Linked DNA regions of Lepisosteus oculatus. The protein of the gene in region 2 interacts with the protein of the main gene of each other region in a pairwise test. Links are inferred from orthologs where the notes say so. Each region holds a gene or a part of one and is shown on either strand. Other genes may lie near its edges.

Region 1 (11,986 bases), about 11 Mb from region 2:
CTCATCTCCTTGAACATAATTAATTTAATTGTCCTCATTAGCTGTACCATTTGTTTTGATTTTATTTCTGTCTTTCTCTCTCTCTCACTTGCTGTCCCTCTCCACATCCATACACCCTCGCTGTCTCTCTCTCTCCCTCCTTCTCTCAACTCCCCGCATATTGGCTGACAGAGGTAGTAGTGTGCCGTATGTGAAGCTGTTGTGCAGAGGTAGAGTAGGAAGAGCAAAACGGCGACTGAGTATGAGGATATAACAACAAGATAAAAAGCCAACAAAAAAAAAAAAACAACAACAACAACAACAACAACAACAACAAGTTTATCAGCCACACGATTCGAAGCGGAAAAAGAAAGCCGGAGCCAAAGCTACTTTTGTCAAACTGTTCAATAGGAGCGTCTCATTAATCTGCCCTTCCCTGCCTGCCTTGGGTTCTGGAGTCGCTGGCTGTGGAGGTTAGTGCCTGAGTGCTGCTTGTTTTCTTCCCCGCTCCCTGACGTTTGACTTTGCACACTGCAGAGTTTGCTTTTCAGTTTGGGAGTTGCATGTGGTTGGACAAGCAGGTACCAGTAAGATCAAATTAAAAGACAAAAATACACACAGAAGAGAAAACAATATAGAGGAGTGATTTCACCTTTTTTTTCCCCTCTTTTCCAATAACGAACAAGTGCTTCTAAAAAACGTCACGGATATCTTTGAATTCTGTATCTTAACCGATGTGCCTTAAAATAAAGTCTTAAAGAATCCGCCTGATTCATTTGTCTAAGTGAGTTGTGACCTCAAAATATTAATTACTACGAAAGGCACGGCATTAATGCATGTAGCATCCAAACCAATGTAAGGGGCATATTTGTTTACAAATGAAATCTATGGAAAATCTGAATGTTCTTTTCTGAGTCGTTTTAGCTTTAATTGGTTGTCCTGAGAAGTGGTAAGCAGAGGTGAGGGGGGACTAAATATCTCGCCTAGTGGATAGTAGTCAACCTGAAAGTTCAACTGAATTTTGCAAGTAAAAGGCAATGTACTGCATGTCAGTTGCAGGTTTCTTCTACGGCAGAGATGTCCAGTCCTGATCCTGGAGGGCCTGTGTGTGTGTGTGGGGGGGGGGGGTTCATTCTTACTCAGATCGTAATGAGCAAAACCAGCTGATTATTGGCTTAACTGGACTAATGTAGTAGTTTCTTCCAGCTCTTCAGGGGCTGCTGCTTTAAAGTGACCTTCAAAACATGCAGAAATAGCGAATACTTAGGACCAGGATTGGTCAACCCTGTTCTAAAGTGTTTCTCACAAAATTAAATTGTGTCAAAGTTTGCAATGAGTCTTCTGTACAATGTGCACTACACACTTTTATCTGCTCAGACAAGACATGTTGTTTCTGTTTATTGATCTTTGTATCTAAATTTCATACATTGATCACACTTGCAAATTGCAATCAGTGAGGCCATAGAACAGATTTATTAAATGACATTTCTAACCAGAATAAGAGATACAAAAATACTGTGAAAAAATATTTGTAATATTTCCAAGTAACTTTATTTAAAGCCTTTTCACTTGAAAAATATGTACTGTATACTATCTTCTTTTAGGTCACTAAAAAGCAAACTGTTATTAGCGCAAATCTCTTACAAATTAATCTCTATATACTGTATACATTAGTTCAAATGTTACAAATACTGTTCTAGTACTTATTTTCTGTTTTTTCTGTATAAAAATACAATCTTTTATTCTAGTGCTCTTGAAGAGAAGATAAATTTGCAGAACCTGTTTTTAAATATTGTATTAGTTCATGCCTCTGTGAAAAGCAAGAGCAATCAACCTGATAAAAATGTCACTCAAGAAAATGGTAAAAAACTAACACCAAAAAATCCTTGTTATCATCACACTTTAAGGACTGTTCAATACAATCTGTGCAACTACCACTCACAAAAACATTAAAACCTTGCCATACCATTGTATCCCATTATTACAGATTTCATATGCTTAAAGAAAGTCAGACAGCTGAACAGACAGATGTAGTTTGACACTGAAAATTATGAATGCCTTCTACATTTTCACAGTTTTTGAACTGCTTGAAAATACAATAGTAATATAAAATGTAATTTTACACATCCAGGTGTTTATTTAAAATGTGTCAAAAGAAGATTCTGTATTATACTGAAGCTTACAAACCACTGTAGTTATATTAAAGACAGCTTACATTTCAAACCAAATAAAGTGACAAAAATCAATTAACTAAGTCCTAAAATGTAAGCATAAAGTTTCTCTGAAGGGTACTGCTTTATTTTCAGATATTTTCTCTTTACTAAATTATAAATTAATTGAGACTCAATTAAAATAACTGATCTTCAGAGAGACTTAAAAAAGTATTAATAATAAATCTAACATTTTAAAAGAATGCAGCTAATTAGTGTTGTTTTGAGTCATAGCCTTTAATGACAAATTATGGTATTCTTGTACTTTTGAGAGGCACGTTAATAACAACTCAAAATAGGATGAAGTAATCAAGTATCTTCTCTGTTTTCATCTATTGATATCAAGATTGCCTTGATAGATTGTAAGATCTTCAGAGAAAAAGAAACTCAGTGTCAGATGTGAAATCTGTGGAAATTACATGCACAAAGCTAAAAATCAGTGTCTTCTTCACTGATCTTTCACGTGAAAACCTTCAAAAGTCCTTAAGAATTAACAGAACACTGCACATAACTGATTCATTAACTGAGTCATCCCTCCATCATGGTAAAGATATATTCATCGTTTTTTTTTTTCTATAAATTAGCTTTATTCAGCGTTCTACTTAAGGTATTTTATGACCATTTAAAATGATTTCTACAATTCCGATTTTAATTGCCAAATGTCAAAGCCCTTACCCCAGCTTTGCATGAAAAACAACTGCCTAACAAAGTAAAAAGATATGTCGCGAATAACACAGGTCCCTCTGTGGACTTTATAGTTCTATGTAGATTTAGAGTTTGCATGCGTCCAAGTTTTACAAGTAGGAGGTTATTTGTTAACTTCATACCTAAACCAAAGCGACACGATGGCTTCCCGGTTTTCGCAGTTCCTCTCTCGCTACTTCAGGCACCTGGGCTTCCTTCCAGACTAGGCCCCTTCTGTATGGAGTCTGTATGTTCCGCCCGTGTTTTTTTGAGTGTTTCGAGAAGGGGAAATTAAGATAGTCCTTCAAACGTTTTACAGGTAATGGAGATATTGGTATGTGAATTTAATGGATGGCATTTACGTAAAAAGGCTTTAATTTTCCTCCCAAACTATTTTTTTAATGATTTTGTACAGTATATACAGAATGCAGGACTGAACATAGAGGTCGCTTATAGGAAAACTGCAGCGTGATTAAAAAAATAAAAATATTTAATGACATACAAACATGCAATGCTAATGTTAGGAGCTAATGCGTATCTTTATTGCCCTCTACGGTTACAATCCCATTTTTTTTTATAAATGGAATAAAGAGGGGAAAAAGTAGAAAAGTTTTTCTATTTAACTTACTCATAATAACTCAATGCTCCAAAGGAGAAGGCCATGTGGTAGGGGAAACTATCGGCGTCAGTTCCTTGTAAAGATGCTGCCTCTGAAAACTGCATCCCTAGAAAGGCGGTTTGCTCCGTATTACTTGCTATTGTTTGACCAGTTTGCGCAGCAGTATGTCTTCTTCCCCACTATTGCTTCCTTTCTAAGCGTTCTGTCTTGTTTTCGGATTATCTGTAAGCACACGGTAATGTCTCCACGACGTGAGAAATTGCTGCTTCACTGCGGTGCTAGCAGAGAACTGTACATCGCTGGCTTAGTGTATTTGATACGTGTTGGCACGTGTGTGGCTGTGTGTGCGCGCTCTGGTTCCTCGGTCTTGCAGCAATAACTGAATGACCTTTTCTTGCTGTGTTATGTCTCGCTGGTGAGGGATTGGACTCGTAGGTGATAAAGCTAGGGTTCTCTGTGCTCCATCCCTCAGTCACTGATGGGTAAGTTGTTCTGAGCCCCTCAGTATACTACACGGGAGCTCAGCGGCGGATGTAAAGAGAACACCTGTAGCTCTGTTGCCTAACACTGCAATTAACTGCTTGCGGATCCATGCGGACCTCATTATTTTAAACTTAAAGATCTCAGATACGTCTCGGGCAATGCTTGCTTTATGAACTTTAGCTCTGAAGGGAGAAAGGTTGAAACTGCGCTACTGTGCCTGTTTTTAACTGAGTCCTTTTGCATTACTTGGCGAAGAAGGTGAGTAAAGTGCAGCTGCACAAAATGGATTGACGTGTACCGTAGTTCAGTACAAGTATGTTAGAACATTTTGAGACCCTCTTTTTTAAATATAGGGTGCCTGTGGAAGTTATGCATGCTTAATACAGAAATGATATTTAACTTAATTCATTGGGTTAAGGTGGAAAAAAGGCACCCATTCACTTTTTTAACAAAAACACTTTAAACGCGTGCCTTCACCAATGATGTTGTGTTAGCGCTGTGCATTTTAAAACCTTATTTGTGGATTTAGTGAAGTTTTGTGTATAAATAGATTATTTTCTTTATAGAAAGGAACACTTGTTGGATTTGCAACCACGCATTTACTGTACCAGGGTTTGCGTTACTCATTTGAAGTGCCTTTTCTAAGCAGAAACATACTGTAAATGCCGTGATGTAGATGAAAACATCACGATTGTAGATGGAAACTAGAATATGCTGAAACTTTGCTCTATGTGTAGAATAATTCAAGAATAAGGTAAGAGGTAAAGAACAGTAAGGAGCTGTTAACTAACAATCGAAAGTTTTTAAACAGTTTAAACATTGGTTTCAAACCCTCTCGGAAAACGCTTTGAATACGAACATTTTAGATATGACTCATGCCACTTAAAATCATGTTTTAAAAATAATAGCTTGTTTTATAATGTATAAAATGTCCCCATATCCCACCGTTACTGTCAGCAGCATCATTTAACGAGGACAATTGTTGATGATGTTCTTTATGCAATTCGTTACGGCTTTTATCTCCGTGTTTTAATTTACACGATGTTTACAATCCGCGTTACCCACTGTGGATAGGGTATACTGAAGTGGATATGAATGAGAGACAGTTCACGTACACACTGATATTTAGGATATGTTCCAAGTAAATACCCGGATAAAGGGAAAGAGATTTGCAGGATGAAAAGACGTTTTGTTTAAGGTATAATTGTTTTAGGCTTTAAAACTGCGCTAAACAAAAACATATATCGCATATCTCAGTTCTACGCAGTGCACTTGTCTGTGTCCAGTTGGGTTAACGGCGCTAAAGATACTTTCGCCGGTGTGCATCAGGCGTTAACTTTCCACCTGCAACAGACAAGGAAACGTCGGTTTAAAACTACAATGTGTTTTGTTGATATTATGTGCTAAGGCTGTTGATTGAAGCCATTCCGTGGTATTTGATTAAATTCATTATACAAGGCACTGAAACTGGCTAACATTCGCAAGTAAAGCATGAGGGGATTATAAGATTACGGCGCCGTTAAAGGGGTAAGCATGTGCTTTTGTCATCCGCTGTCATTTGCTCACTACCACTCGTATAGCAGCGGCTGCAAGACTTCCTTTTCATAATCGAGTATTGATGTGACAAACGTTGGCTACGTTTAGCAGGCGATAGTGGATAGCAGGTCTTTCCTTATTTTCCTGTTTATTTTATTTTTTGTCTGGAGCGAGGGTCTCACTTTGAACAATAGCAAGCCACCCTCAGCGTGCAAGCATACAGCTGCTCAGTTCATCCAAAGAAACGAAGCGTTTTTTTTGTCTCTCGAGTTGCATGGTGGTTGGGGTGCTGAAGTCAAATGCAGAAAAGGGAGAAAAGTTTCGGTAAGGATTTTTCGCTGTGCTGTGACTTATTCTTTTTCTTTAGCTTTCTGAGTGTTCACCTTGTCTTGTTTTATTTTAGGAACGTGTGTTGTGTAGGAATCGATGGTGTGAGCAGACCCGTGATCTGAAGTATTCCATAGCTTTGGGATGAGGGGTGTTTTTTCCGTTTATCTTCAATATTGTTCTCGGAGGCTTTAATTGCTTTCAAGAACGTTGGCTGGTGCCAATTATTCTGGCAGGTTTAATGGATAGCTTCAAAATGTTCCCGCTGAATGCTGTAGATAAAGAGGACGTTTAGCACCAAAGACTAAGCACATTAACTCAGAAAGTGATTTTTTTGGTCTTGTTTTGTTGTGCATGCAAGCTGCATCGAAAATTGGGTTCGCTGTTGCAAATCTCTTATTGGCCTTTGCCAAGCACTAGCACTTTGCTACCATGGCAACTGTAATTAAACTGATAAGAGTGGAAAAATGTCAGTATCGCCGAGTCTTGCAGCTGCAAAGGGGAGAAAAGGAGAATCAAATCGGGTCTCAGCTCCATGGCATGCAGTCGTCACGTAGTTTATATATATATTCCGTAAAATGGTATGAGCTCAATTTATAAGGGTTCGGACATCTATTTGTATGAGGTACCCTGAGGGAGTTTGAGTAACATCGGAAAACAGGCAAGGGAGTTCACAGAGAACCTGCGGGGTTGCTCTGGGCGAACGCACAGGGAAAGAAAAAAAATCTTTTAGGCCCAATCCAGCTTTATTTTCCTAAATCTTTTGTTCACTGTTGCTTGGCAATTGGAAAATCGAAGTGGCGAAATTCCTTTCATCTGGATCACTAGACTCCTGGCAGCCTGTTTTCTTAATTTAATAATGAACGAAATTTAGAAAAAGAAAGCTTCTGATTTTTAAGGCAGTGGTTCAGCGCATTATACAAGCTGTCCCAACGCGTCTAAATCTGATTGCAGGCTGAGAAGAGTTGAAACTCTTACTACTTTTCGTTTGTTAATGAGTTGCGGTTACTTTGTTGTGTTAACCAGTGAAGCTGAGACTGCGCGGATGAGTGCCACAGAACAAGGATGCATAATGGAAGCAATCAACCGTACGTGTTTCTTACAATACAATCCAGCCAATTAAAAGCTCACCAGTTTAAATGAAATGAAATAAAATGGGTGTCTGCTCATTACTGCAAACAGAATGACCCTTCAAGCTATTTTATGTATGCCCTAGCTGCTTTTTTCTATTAAATAAAGGGTCTATATAAGATTTCTATCAAATACTGAATTACGGCCACGTTAAAAAAAATGCATTGTTCCAAGGCTGTTAAAACGAGTTTTCAGGACTTTGAAATAACCTCTCGGAAAGGTTGTACTGTCTTTAAACATGATTCTGGACTGTTCTATTTTTTTCCACAAAGATTGCAGCTTCTGTAAAAATGTTTTTCTGCTAAGCAGGATATTAATACAAATATTCCTTTTTTAACATTCAGTTTATCATTTATTAATGCAGCCCAAGACTGTTAACGCACACATACAACTTTCCATGCGTTAGTACTGTATATTGCTGTTAAAAAGTCAAAATCTTTGTGACCGTTGATATTTATGTCTTGTGTTGAGCGTAAAGCGAATAATGGATTCCAGCATAGGTCAATGAAGTTCGCTGTTTAGGTCGGTTACATATTTTCCGTTAGTGGTTACTTGGGAAATAAATGTGTGGTACAGTATATGCTGTATGATTTTCCATACAGTCCTTGTAATGTCCATAGTAAGAAAGTATTAAGCGACCCGTACACATGCCGTTTGAAAAGCGTTGCAGACAACGTTGGCTAGTGTGTTTTAATAATGTGTTAATCGAAGAGATAAAAATAAAACACAATCCACAATATTCAAATGAGAACTCTCCACAGTGAAGCATAAGCCCCTTGTGCCTGGTAAGATACATGTTTCAGTTTTTTATGCAGTGCTTATCCTTCACCGGCCTGAACAGTTAACTGTTCCCTGTCATATATTCCCTTTTCCTCATATATACCACTTGCTCTTAAAATAATTAACAAACAAGAGGAAACTGACTAATTCTGTAGTTTTCCCCCCTTTTATGTTATGAGTGATTCATTATTTTACAGAACTGAGATATTTAAAACAAATCCACATGCAGTAATAGCCTGTTATCCCATTACAGACAGTAGAACCAGAGTTTTCACTGTGGTCATGTTAGTTGACTATTTAAAGATTAAACGTAGCCTTTTTCTGTCTTTGACCATATGCTGTTTTCAAGGCATAGCTGATACTGTAATTCTGTCTCAAACTGCATGTAAGAAGACCCATCAATTTAAGAATGCAATCCTTCCCTTTTCGGTTTTCATAATACTAACTCAATAATTTATAATAAGTTATAGTTCTTGATGATGTAAAAACAAATATAATACAGACACCACATGTGTTCCACATGAAGTCCAACAGTCAGGAAATTAATCAAATAAGCAAGCAAAGAAGCAATCTGTAATTTAAAGGGCACAATGGGAGGTAATCGAGTATAAAATGAATAATGGATTCAGTTATAGGTCAGTAAAGGCCTGTATTGCTGGTGTTGTGTACATTTGCAGTTAAGCCTATGGTTTAGCAGTTTCTGTCAATATCGCACTTTACTCAATCACATTCATTTTCATGTTAAAGAAACAGAGTTGTGTTTGTGCAACACCAAATTAGTATCACACTACATAATTGTGTTGTTGTGGCAGCAATACTGTAAAATAAACAATAACTAAATGTTACATTCTGCTAATTGTGTATGATACACAAATGCTGCTCTGTGATATTACAATTAAATTTTAGTAGTACTGATGTACTGTACAGTGTATAAATCTCTTATTTGCTATTTTGGGACGGATCTTTCAGTGTTTGGATGTATTCAGTTCCAAATGTCCAATAACTTTCAGAATGATTAAGTTAGACACAGTATTATGAAACTTTATTGGTTCTTAACACATGTTCATGGTGGTGGAACTAAAAATGTTTTCATGCAGTTATTCCCTTTTTTTCTTTAGTTTATAAACCAGATCTGGAGACATGCTGTTTTAAGTGTACACGATTCTTCAAACAGGATGCACTGGATTCTGAATTCTTGCACCTCTCCTTAAATATTGGGCACTCATGATTAATTTGGGATTTGGGATTGGGTCACTTTTAAACTACTAAATATCAGTTTGGTGCGTAGTGCACGTTTACAACAGTATTGCTATTTTTTGTTATTTGATTTTAATCTTAACACACTGTAGAACACAAACCTGAATCTAATGTAATCCTTTTACAGTTTTTCTTAGTTTTGTTTTCTTGTTACTTAACTATAATGTTATATTAAGGTTCTTGATTGCCATTTCATACACAGTCCTCTAAAATGTAGCTGTTGTGCAGACTAGTTAATAGCCCCATACCTCCTGGAGTTGAAAATGGCCACAATGGAATGTAAGAACTTTGCAGGGCATTTGCAGAATTGTGAATACTGTTGCAAATGAGCACATTACCAGCTAAAACTGAATTTGCTGTGCTTTGATCTTTAACAGTTTTCAGTATATCTTTCGAGATGTTTTCTGCTTTATCACTGTCGTAATTTCATAATCAGGGTTACCATATATGAAAAACAATCTAGGATAATAAGTCCAAAGAGCTACAGAGAAAAATAACGTTTTCGAAGTCACCTATTTTTAATGTATCTGGAGGTTTTTTTTTTCTCTGTCAAATTCTAAGTAAACAAGTTTTTACTTCAGTCAGTGTCCCCAATCGTTTTGCAATCAAACAGTGCAGGTTCCTATATACAGAATGAGTGCCTGCAGAGTTGGAATTGTTTATGTTAGGAAGTCCTGCAAAAATTCATTTAACATTACTGAGCTACGGCTCACTAAAATGTATCTTCAGATTCAAAAGAAGACAAAACACAAATGATGGTGTGTAGGAGTTGTATACTCCCTAAGCATGGCTGGAGCATACTAATTACTCTGTCCAGGAGTCCACATTGTTACCTCAATATAGCTCTTTCATATCACTCTTGGGTTAGTGGATACACATGATGGTGACTGCGGAATCTTTTCAGCCTTCTCCCAGTGGAAGGTAAAATTGAGGATTTTTAGTTGCGAAAGACAGCTTTGATTGTAATAATCAATGATGTAGGAAAAAGAAGACTAGATATCACTAGTATAAAGGTAAGAAAATCAATAGTGATGTTGATTTTGTTTTTGCATTTTTATGCAGTTAATGAAGATAAAAGTTACGGAATAGGATTTAGAATCTATCTTCACAGCAGATATGTGTAATTGTTTTAAACTTCAGATGCATAGAATAGTGAGTTCTACACTTTTTTAAAAACAGTTTATTTGAATTACCCATATAGCAAAGTTCAAGTCCCAATATAGTAAGAGGATATTCACATTTTAATTTGCTGATTATTCATTTGTTTTCTCACACTAGAGAGATAGAGCTAGAATGCCCTGTAATGCAAACAGTTCCTTGGGCTTATATGCAACCTGTTTTCATCACACATACTGTATGTGAAGTTGCTTATTTTCATCACATCTGTTCAAGGTGTGCCATGATTAATTTTAACATGTTTTTGTCTTTTCAGATAATATTATATTTCAATGACTAAAAGAAAGTTTGAAGCTACTTTATTTTCAAAGACCGAGGCTAAGTTGCTTTATGTATGTTTTTTTTTCCCCCAAACCAGATTAGTACCATTTGAGAGTAAAAATGTTATTGCAGTCATCTGCGAATGTTCACTGAACTGCTTGGATCATGGGGCATTCTTTTCAAATGATTTCAGAAGTTTTGCAAATACTGTACATTGGTTCACTACGATATTAATTGCCATATTTGCTAAATCTAAATGAATCATATTACTATTCTTTTCTTTCCATCCTTAGGCAGCCACATATATCTAAAAAAGCCAATTTGTATAAAATAATTTCCTGTCTTGGCAAATTTCTTACACTCTTTCTAACTAACGTACAGTATAGCACAGATTTTATGTGATTTGCAGAGGTTTCATCCGTTTTAGTTGTCCTTTAACCATTTTCCGCTTTACCTCATACAGTGCAACTATACTGCCAAATGATAGACACTGACTATCCCTTATTTTCTGCAATATACAGTATAATGCTTTTTTCAAAATGTTTCTAAAGGTTTCATGTATGTATAAAAATAAAATGTTGTTGTAATTGTTACATGCAGTAGGCAATCATTTTCAGGATGTAACAAAGTGATTTTGTTTACTTAAATATTTAATTTAAATATCAACTAACCTTAAAGAAACGACCACACTGACATTATGACTAAAATTCACCTTTAAATTCTACAGTAGCTTTTAACTTTTTTTGTTTCATTGAACTTCATCTGCAGTTAACTGCAGCGCATGCATTGAGTAAACGTAGACTGAAGGAAATTTTCATTTTACAAATAGGGCTTTTAATAATGAAAGTAGCCTGTAATTATATTTCACTTAGAAACGTAGCTGCTGCATACATTTAAGGTGAAATGGTTTTCATTGGTTGAAGCGTGCCTGAGCAAATCAAACTGAATGAAAATTAGGAATTAAGCTGTATTAAATTTGTCTTTGATGCTTGTATGAATCCACTTTGAGAAAGCCAACTGATAGTATTTTGGAATAAGACACTCCATGAGTCTGCAGCTGATGGAAAGCAGTGATATGTTCATAAGATATTATGTGCTTGTAAAAGTGCACAACATGAATGCACACAAAAGTCACTTCAAAGACTTTTTGTGCAGTGTACTCACTCCTATTAAAATAAGGACAGTTTTATAATGAACTGCAGGTAGTCAGGAGCTAAAAGCAGTGGTGCTTTTACAACTATTTTACAATTTTGAGCTTTCTCAAAGAAAACAGTATAATGCTCCAAATTGGTACATCATTGAAATTTATGTATTTTTGTATATTTCTTCCCAAATGTAACTCATGCCTTTGTATGGAATGTAGTGAATCACAACATAGTGGATAGTCTGTTGCTTGCAAAAGCCTGTAAATTTATATTTTAACTGCTATTCATACTGTACATGTTACAGGTCTATAGAATTATGTCCTTTTGCTGATGTCAGAAAGGGGATTTTTATTCAAATCACTTAACATTTATAGACTAGTTTCTGATGAATGGCCCAG
Region 2 (9,080 bases):
GGCAGCTTCTCTTCAGTTAGTTCAAGTTCCAATACAGGATTGGAGGAGGTCGATGGTTCAGGCTCATCTTCTTTTCGCTGCAACTTTAAATTAAAACCAAATTGAAGATCCCATGCTTAACAAGATACTGTAAATGTAAAGATTATATGAGCAATTTGTTACTTTTTATTTTGTAATATATTTAATTAAATAACTTTCCTTTCCAAAGGGCCACTGACATTGATAATGCATACAAAATACATACTAACAAGTCGACTGCTTACAACATTAAATAGCCTCAATATTTTATGTTGATGCTTCTTATAAACACTTAATATATATAACACCTCACTACTTCAGAAAAAAAAGAGAACAAAGGTGCTTTAATATTTTAAAAAACGCACTGAACAACGCCATCTACTTGAAAAGTATTTCAACACTGCACAACAGAAATTAATTTGAGACAATACTTGCATGGGAATCTATCAAGATTCTAAAAACAGAGAAAAAACTGGGTCAATTAGGGAAAGCACTGATCCTCAGTTAGATGATCCGGAGTATAGCACTGGGTTCCAGAACACAGAACTTGTCTTAAACATATAATTAAATTGCATGCAACACCTCTCAACAGCTATTTAATAAACCAACGTGACGTTAAGTTAATCATTCATGACAAATATAAACTAAACATGTACTGTAACACGAATTAGTAAGGTGACACTTTACAGGTTCTTTTGTAAGTCTTTAGATTCTTGCTCCCACAATGTTACTATCCCCGCTTCTCATAGTGACACTTGCCTATACTCTGCAAATAAAGTACTTATTAATGGTGCAAATTAATACTTTAAAAAGGACAGTTAAGCAAACAACTCCGGCTGCCTTGAAAAAAGGAAACCACCATGCTACAAGACACTCTTTATTTTTCCTGAACAGATGCAGAAAACAAGGAAAGTGTTTTCAATGCTTGTTCACTAGTACTCCATTATTTTAAAAAATACATAAGTGTATTTTTTTAAATAATTCAATTTGAATCATGCTTTCAGAAGCACATGCACTTTTCCCAATTACAGCTAGCAGTACAAAAAGAGGTAGTTGTAAAAAAAGATAACAGGCAATTTAAGGGATCTCTCAGAAGCACCGCAATATCTGCTAAAAAGCAACAGACTATTATTGAAAGGGGGAATTTTTTACTTGGAGCTAAGATTTTTTTTTTATAAAAGGTCACTAATATTTGTGATCCATATCTAAAACAAAAGGGTGAGTTTAAAATATCTTAAACTGTGAATATTAAACTGTCCAGAATAACTGAAGTTAGTTCCACCCTATGAATTTTTTAGTTTCAAACTGGTGCAGCCAAGACTTATTTTCTTCTGCTCAAAACAATTTCACAGTTTGCTAGTTCATGCTGTAAGCAAAAGAAAATGCAAGAAAAAAAAATCAATGTGTTTCAGCATGCCCAATTTTGCTCTACAGCAGGGACAAATCTTTGCCCTCTTTAATCCCATACCTTTCCTGCTGGCTTCTCATTAACAACCTACAGTGCAATGCAGACAGGATGGAAGAGCAGCATTAGATGTTATAAAGACAGGGTCTGAAGAACAAGCCAAAAAAATCACTAAGAAAGCCAGAGAACCTTTATAGAAAGCACTGTATTCATATGTGCAAAATATTCTAATATACATATAAACACATGATTGGAATCAGAAAAAAAGCTGTAACGAGCTGATAGGCCAAAAAAAGTTCTGGTTTGCAAACATACACCATGCATAACTACTGGATAACTGTTGGAATTTGAAAATAAAGTACGGATTTGATCATTTTACATTTAATTGATATTCTGGGTTAACACTGTGATTGTACAGATCAAGACAAGCTAAAGAGAAGCAAATGTACACAGACATCATTAATGTCCAAAAGAAAAGAATAACAAGTCTGTACTTTAAAAGAGATCTAAAATCCGATAAACAGAAGCCGGTATGTTGGAACCTAAGGGTGATTCACTAAAAGCATCAGGTGTCATACAACCTAAGCCAAATGTATTTAGATCCTCTAGGTCAGTGACCATCCATCCACACCTGAGATCTCATGAAGTGCAAAGACGACAGACAGGCAGTTTTTCAAAACTTTGGCAATTTACCACACAAAGAATATGACCCGGACTGAATCAATCTTCCTGAGATTGTCACTATAAACACATTTCTCCCTAATCTAAAGACTGTATAGCTGTACACTAGACCTCCAATCCTTGTTTGTTTTGGCCATTTTTTAGAGTGCATGTATTTGGCAAATAATGAAGTCCACTGATTTGAAGGAATATTTCCCTAAGGAATAAATGATTAAACTTGTATGGTTTGTCATATACTGTATTTTATCTTATTTTTCCATGGAATTTCAGAATGTGAAGAAAATATTATTCATAAAGTATGATCTCCTTGCATAAGATAAAAGGTCACTGTACAAAATAAAGTCCTGCTACCATTTAGCTGTGCTGCTCTTGACTCCAAGATAGAGAGGAGTAGTTGCACTTTGGTTTTCTACTTATTCACAGAGAGTCTCTCTGCGGTTTTGCGTTTAAATGAACCCAGTTTCCGACTTACATCCTAGTGCCTAAGTTGCCAATTAACTGTGCTCACTCACAGCATGTGCAACTGTTCTGGCCCGATCTAACGCCTAAAATTCACACAGGGAAACACCTGTATAAGGCTATCCGAATACAAATCTATAAATATGTCAGCACTGTACCTTATAACCACATCTTTCATAATAGGATTCTTCTTCTTTTCGGGCAAGCTCGCTGCGTTTAAAGAATTTCTTTGACTCCTGCAATACAAGAGTTGACGTTATGGCACTCAACATTATTTAAGTATTTAGTTTAATATCTCATGAAAGGTAGCAGTCCACTGGACGTCCATGCACTGATTTAACATTTCGAATTGGACAGAAACAAGCAAAAAATAAACTTCGTGTTTAAATACTACAGACTTATTAAAATGCTGTCGACAGCTTCGGATATAACAGTAAATCCCATGGAAAGGGTCTCTTAATGTTACTTAGTCCTTTACTGTGATATTGGTATACTAGACAGCGTTTTGTAAACACACAAATATCCATAAGTATAAAGCAGGTTATCGTTGCGGGTAACACCGAGTGATAGACGGTAAAAAAAAGTCATTTAAACCATCATAAAATTGAATATTTTCCATTGGACACCGGTAACTCACACCAACAAGCTCCTTTTCTTCGAGGAGCTTCCTTTTCCTCGCTATTTCAGCTTTTAAAATATCCATGATGTGATAGCATGTAACACAAACTCCTTCGGTGTTGTTAAAAAAAAACACACAAAACAGGAAGCAATTCTCCAACACTTCCGTCGGTTTTTATACGGTGAAAGGTCAAGGGGCGGTGTCAAGATACACAGATGCTGCCAGAAGCCGAAACCTCTGGAATAAAAAACCTCGACAGGTCATTGGTGTTGGTACCTCCCTTATGCAGATCTCTCTCATTGTTAATGAGAACAGTGCTTGTCCACACAATCACATGACCCATACGCTTTTACCTAATGATTAAATATGCATAAATTGTGGTACTGGCACTGGTTCGAAGCATATTTGACATTAATTAATTGTATCGTACTAAGGTGCTATAAGTCATCGATCTCTGCTATTCTTAAATTATTCAAAATGTATTATTACTATTACTACTATTAACTTTTCGTGAAACAGACTTGAAATAAAAAAATTGTGATTAATATATATATATAATAGTATTGTGCTTTCCTAACCATTTGACTAGTTTAAACAAAGGTGAACAGACCGTATAACAAGGACACCGAGAGGGGCTGAGATACTTTACCCCATTTCCTCAGTAAAAAGTCAACTAGCCTTAGCCTCAAACCATTCATTCTGTGTGTGGGTAACCAGGTGATGAACATCTAGCCTACAAAACAATTCCATCAGGTGGCGCAAAGGAATATGGAAAATATAAGTACACCGATTCATCTTTTTGTAATACAAACGGATTCGCTCTAAAATAATAAATAAAGATCAATCGATTACTAGTACAAAATGTTTTATTCAAGAGCTGTAATTAACACGGTTAATTTTCAAAACCATTAAGGGCGTATAAACGCGAGGCTAAGCAGTTGGAACTGAAATACTGTAATGAGCAGGAGTTTTTGCTGATTACAGAGACGGACCCCGGTCCTGCTGTTTATTCTGATGTACTACACGCTGGAGTTCTGCTTTAGATTTCATTCCCTGGTCTTTATCGCACAGATACCAATAATGGAGTTTTCTGAAAGGAAAAGGAGCAGAAAATCCCAAAGCTTCAAACTGATTAACGAAGAAGGTAAGGCAGGGAATTTATCTTGTCACGATTCGTCTGCAGTCGCTCCTTTGGGTATTGTATAAACAAAAAGGTTAAAATGAAATAACCCTTGTTAAAGAACACGGAATGCACCTGCAACGTTTGTTTAGTTGAAAGGAGATTATTGTCCATCAATAGAAACACAGTATACATAGACATTATTTAATATATTTGTCACATGGGGTATACACAACGGAAGAATAAACTAATGCTCGAAGAATGCATTATATATGTGGTTGTTTTCATGAGGAGTAGGTAGTCTGAAAGGCACACTGACAAACCGACGGATATCACTGAACTTGTATTTTCTGTCATTAGATTACAAATTTATAAAAAGTGCATTTGTTCGAGTGTATATTCATTATGAAAATTTGCGTTAAACAATTCTGTTGCGCATGAGAATGAAATAATATCAGCAATATCAATATTGGCTTAACGTGATCTGTAGTAGTTTAGTTTGGTTTGATTTGATGCCAAGTTTGAGCCTGAGAACTAGACTATTTTATATTCCACCTACAGGTGGTAGAACCTAACAGCGTGCAGTGTGCAGGAAACTAAACAGGCAGGTCCAGTCCTGCCTACAATAGTCTTCATTCCGCTAAATAGTCGTGCACATTCACTACAGTGTAAAGACAGACAGCGAAATATTTCCTAGGTCCCATTATACAGAATATTGTTTACGTTTTTCTGGGATTTGATACTCTTCCTACATTAGTAATATGAGAGTTAGATTTTCCAAGAGCAGTTGTTTCAAGGTTCATTTTAAAGAATGTTTTAAAATTTGGCAAATTTGTTCTTTCAACGATACTGACTTTATGAAGTAAATGCTTCAAACATCATACATATAAATATGTTGGTGATGTCTTGTGTGAAGCTCTCATTTAAAGCATAATAGCTTAATAGTGAGAGTTATCCTCTAAGAGCCTGTCTTTTAGAGAGTATGTGTCAAAGAGATGGATAGAAAGGAGGGAAACCTTGAACTATTAATTCTTGAAAACAATTATGATTAATTATTTCCTTCCTCTTTGACAAAATGATGATATGATTTGTATAAAATATTCAGATGTATTTTGCTGTATCATCTGAACCTTGGTGGGTAATCCATGGTAATATTCCTTGTCTTTCCAGATTACGAAGCAGAATACTTTGCAAGCAGTAACACCCTTGATGCAAACGGGGAAATAAATGATACAAAAATGGCTGAAGGTACATTGTTTATTTCTTATTGAATAAACAGGCAAGGATTATGATAACATTAATCTTGAAGATACGTTCAGCTCTTGCTAAAGATATATATATATAGTTTATGCTGTATAAGTAATATTATTTTTCTGTGATGAGTACTTTTAGCTCAGTGTGTTGGTCAGGATTTGTCTTATTTTGTCTTGCAGCATGGTTACTAGCAGACATCCCATTTATTTCAAGTCACATGGCATTATCACAGTGTCTTTAAGATAGATTGTTTTTTCTTTGTTTGGTCATGTGTATTGTAAAATACAGTCAATTTTTTCCATTTGACAATTGTACTGTATCTGCATAGCATAGCACAGACAGAACAGTATATTGCAGTAAAAGTCAAACAACCATACAGTAGTACTATTGAAGCAGAGTGCTGGGATGTGGATTCTAGCATAACTGAAATTTAAATTTTGGAGACAGAAAAAATTGAAAACTGCTTTTAATAATGTTACAATATGAATGCCATATCCTATTATTTCACAGATTTATGGACATGCCAGAAATGTTCATTTCTTTCCATCGTGTTCTTCTATTCATGGTTTATGGTTTATTTGGTTGCTGTGAGGATACCAAAAGGTATATTCTAAGTAACATGCCTGTATTTTTTTCTTTTTGCTGCTTATGTCCAGAAAAGTTTTGAAATTTCTAAATTTACAACTCGCCAAACTCAACTTTGAGATGTCAGCTCACATGGAACAGCATATAGGGTAACCATTCTGATCCTAGTAGTGATTGAGTAATATTCACTGAATATACAAGAAGAATCTAAGAAACTTTGCAAACCAGAGAAGTCAATTTAGCCCATCTAGTTAGTCTCCAACACTGTAACTAACCAGCTCTCATACAGCAATGCCTTTGTCCTGCTCACTGTCATGTAGAAATTGTGTAGCCAATACAATATGTTTTCCTACTTCTGTAATTGCTTCGCATCTGCATTACCTTGGATTAAATTGCAAAATAGTTAATAATGATAATAACAGAAGTAGTTATACTAGTTAATGATAATAACAGAATAACAAATGACAGAGGTCAAGTTGAATATTACGCAAATGGGAGAAATGGGAGGAAAGCTGCCACCTTAAGAATTAGGGTACATTTCAGGTGCATTAAGGTGGATTGAAGAATTAATGGTTGCATTAAGATGAGGGCCATTAAGCTATCTGATGAAGGATCACACCTTAACAGGTGTAACAGTCTGTTAAGGTGTGATTATCAAACTGCAGCTAGTCAATGTCTTGAAAATAGGTGTAGTTGAAATGGGTTGCTAATTAAATTAACAGGTTAAGATTATGTCCCATAATGCAGACACTGTTGCATTAAATCAGGGTTATGCTATTAGACAACTGCCAAACGTATTTCCAAAAGGATGGTACGAATTGGTAGTTGGTTCTGTTGGGGTTTGGTGGACTTGAGTCATCCAAAGCATCTTTGGACTATCACTCACGATCTCAGGCGATCTCTGTGACCTATTTCAGTCACTATGAATAAGGTTCTTTCCAATAAATAACTGATGTTCAGTAATTGATAGTTCAATGTATGTTATTTTTTTCAAATAATAGTTTAATCACAAACAGTATGGCTTATCTATTCAATATAATTATATTCTAAACATTGCCTCTAATACACTTTTCATTGAGCTTAATTTGTGCTGAGGACATTTAATATATTTTTAGGTGGCTAAAATATGAAATGGCACTGTAAAAACCTCCATTCAATCCTGATTACTGCAGTCATATAGGAAATATATAACAGTTCTTGCAATATATAGCATGTTAGCCAAAGTTTAGAAGCGCACATAACACCATAACGATATACCACAGTAAAAGTATAAGAGTATAACAGATAAAAAATAAAGAACACTTAATAAACACTCCTTAATGTTACGACAGTGGGTTCATTAGCATGTGTTGCATATCCAAATAACATGGAAGGAGAGCACTCATGAGGAGAATGATATGCATATGGTGTTCATAGAAGCTTCTTAGAAATAAACCACATCTAAATTGGCATTGCTAGTAGCACTGATGAAAAGCAGGTGTTACACACTGAGCTCCAGCTCATAAAAAGCTGCCATTCAAAACAAGTGTTTTATCAAGGGAGAGAGGAAGATGAATGATCCAGAGCCCAAACATCAGCAATTTCCAGAACTTTGTGGGGAAAAGCAAACTTTACTAGATTTGACAGAGAAAAAAAATAGTCTGCATGTTATACAGATAGAGCAAAGGGAGGGAAAAGGGAAAAAAATATGAAAAGGGGAAAATTAATATAAAATACCATACAGGCTTTATCTTATGACCCTTTCGTTTTTAGTCATTTCCATCTGTTTTGCCTGGAAGACACAGCAGATTGTGGTATTTCAGAGCTCTGAGAGACAGGTTTCTTCGGAGGCAATTTAATTTCTGCCACAAATATTTCTTCTTTTTCTTTAAATATAAAGTATGTACAGTATATTGTATGAGAAGTATGCTTTGTGGCACGTTTTAGATGGCTTTTTGCAGTATTGTTTTATTTGATCAAAAACTAAGTATGTTTCAGACACTACTGGACACATACGGTATTACCAGTGTTCTTATTAATGTTGTATTACCAATGAATGTGGGGTTAATATATCTGAATATAGGGCAGCAAGGTGGCGTACTGGTTAGTATTGCTGTCTCGCAGCACTGAGGCTCTGGATTTAATTCCTGGGGTGCTGTCTGCGTGGAGTTTGTATGATCTCACAGTGTGGGTTTGCATGGGGAAACCGAGTGTTATTGGGGTGCTATGATTTCCTCCCACAGTCCAAAGATATACTGGTAGATTAATTAGCTTCTGGGAAAACAGGCCCAGGTGTGAGTGTGTGCATGATCGTGTCTCTGTGCCCTGTGATGGACTGGCGTCCCATCCAGGGTGTATCCTGCCTTGCACCCGCTGTTTGCTTGGATAGACTCCAGCTCCATGGCCACCCTGACCTGAATAACACGGTTAGAAAGTGGATGGATATATGTTGATATATGTATGAAAAAATTAAAAGACACATGTGCATCCGCCTGTTTTGTAGTATAATTAACCATTATAACATTTTATAGTTTTATAAAAATGTGAATACTTTCTCCCCAAGTGGTGCAAGCCTTCACACTCCACACTTACAATATCTAACACTGTTTTTGGTGTTGGTGTCGGAGGGATACATAATCCATGTTCGGGAAAGGGGCAGCAGATAAATACTATGGGCACCATTACGCACTTCCCGCAATTCGTCAGTCTCTGCTCTGTCAGTATGGTGTTATTTCCCTAAGACACATCTTATCTTCAGGTGTCCACAAAGTGCAAGACACATCATATGGGAAAACCTGTGTAAACATTTTGTTGCGCAAATGTTGTGCCAGTGACTTCCATAGCGCACATCTTTATATAGATCATTCACCTGTAGGAATAGGGTCTTGCTAATGATTACAAGAGATTTCTTAGTGTCTTTAACATCCAAATTGTCTTTAGCTTGGCTAGGTGACGAAGGC

What was found.
Region 1: the proteins of bend7 (region 2) and lmo3 interact in binary tests that used the Homo sapiens proteins (3 or more experiments, as listed by UniProt). The two-hybrid records come from large-scale screens. The link is inferred for Lepisosteus oculatus from reciprocal best matches to the Homo sapiens genes BEND7 and LMO3.

Annotation. Positions count from the first base shown.
Region 1 is NC_090702.1:24,867,588-24,879,573, reverse strand, and holds the start of lmo3 (LIM domain only protein 3), read left to right. Parts: upstream 1-6,823; 5' UTR 6,824-6,832; coding exon 6,833-6,926; intron 6,927-9,905; exon of another isoform or gene 9,906-9,927; intron 9,928-9,956; exon of another isoform or gene 9,957-10,019; intron 10,020-11,986.
Region 2 is NC_090702.1:14,198,181-14,207,260, reverse strand, and holds the start of bend7 (BEN domain-containing protein 7), read left to right. Parts: upstream 1-3,900; 5' UTR 3,901-4,196; coding exon 4,197-4,326; intron 4,327-5,472; coding exon 5,473-5,550; intron 5,551-9,060; coding exon 9,061-9,080. Other genes in the region: prpf18 (pre-mRNA-splicing factor 18), read right to left, coding at 1-83, 1,487-1,513, 2,722-2,799, 3,201-3,266.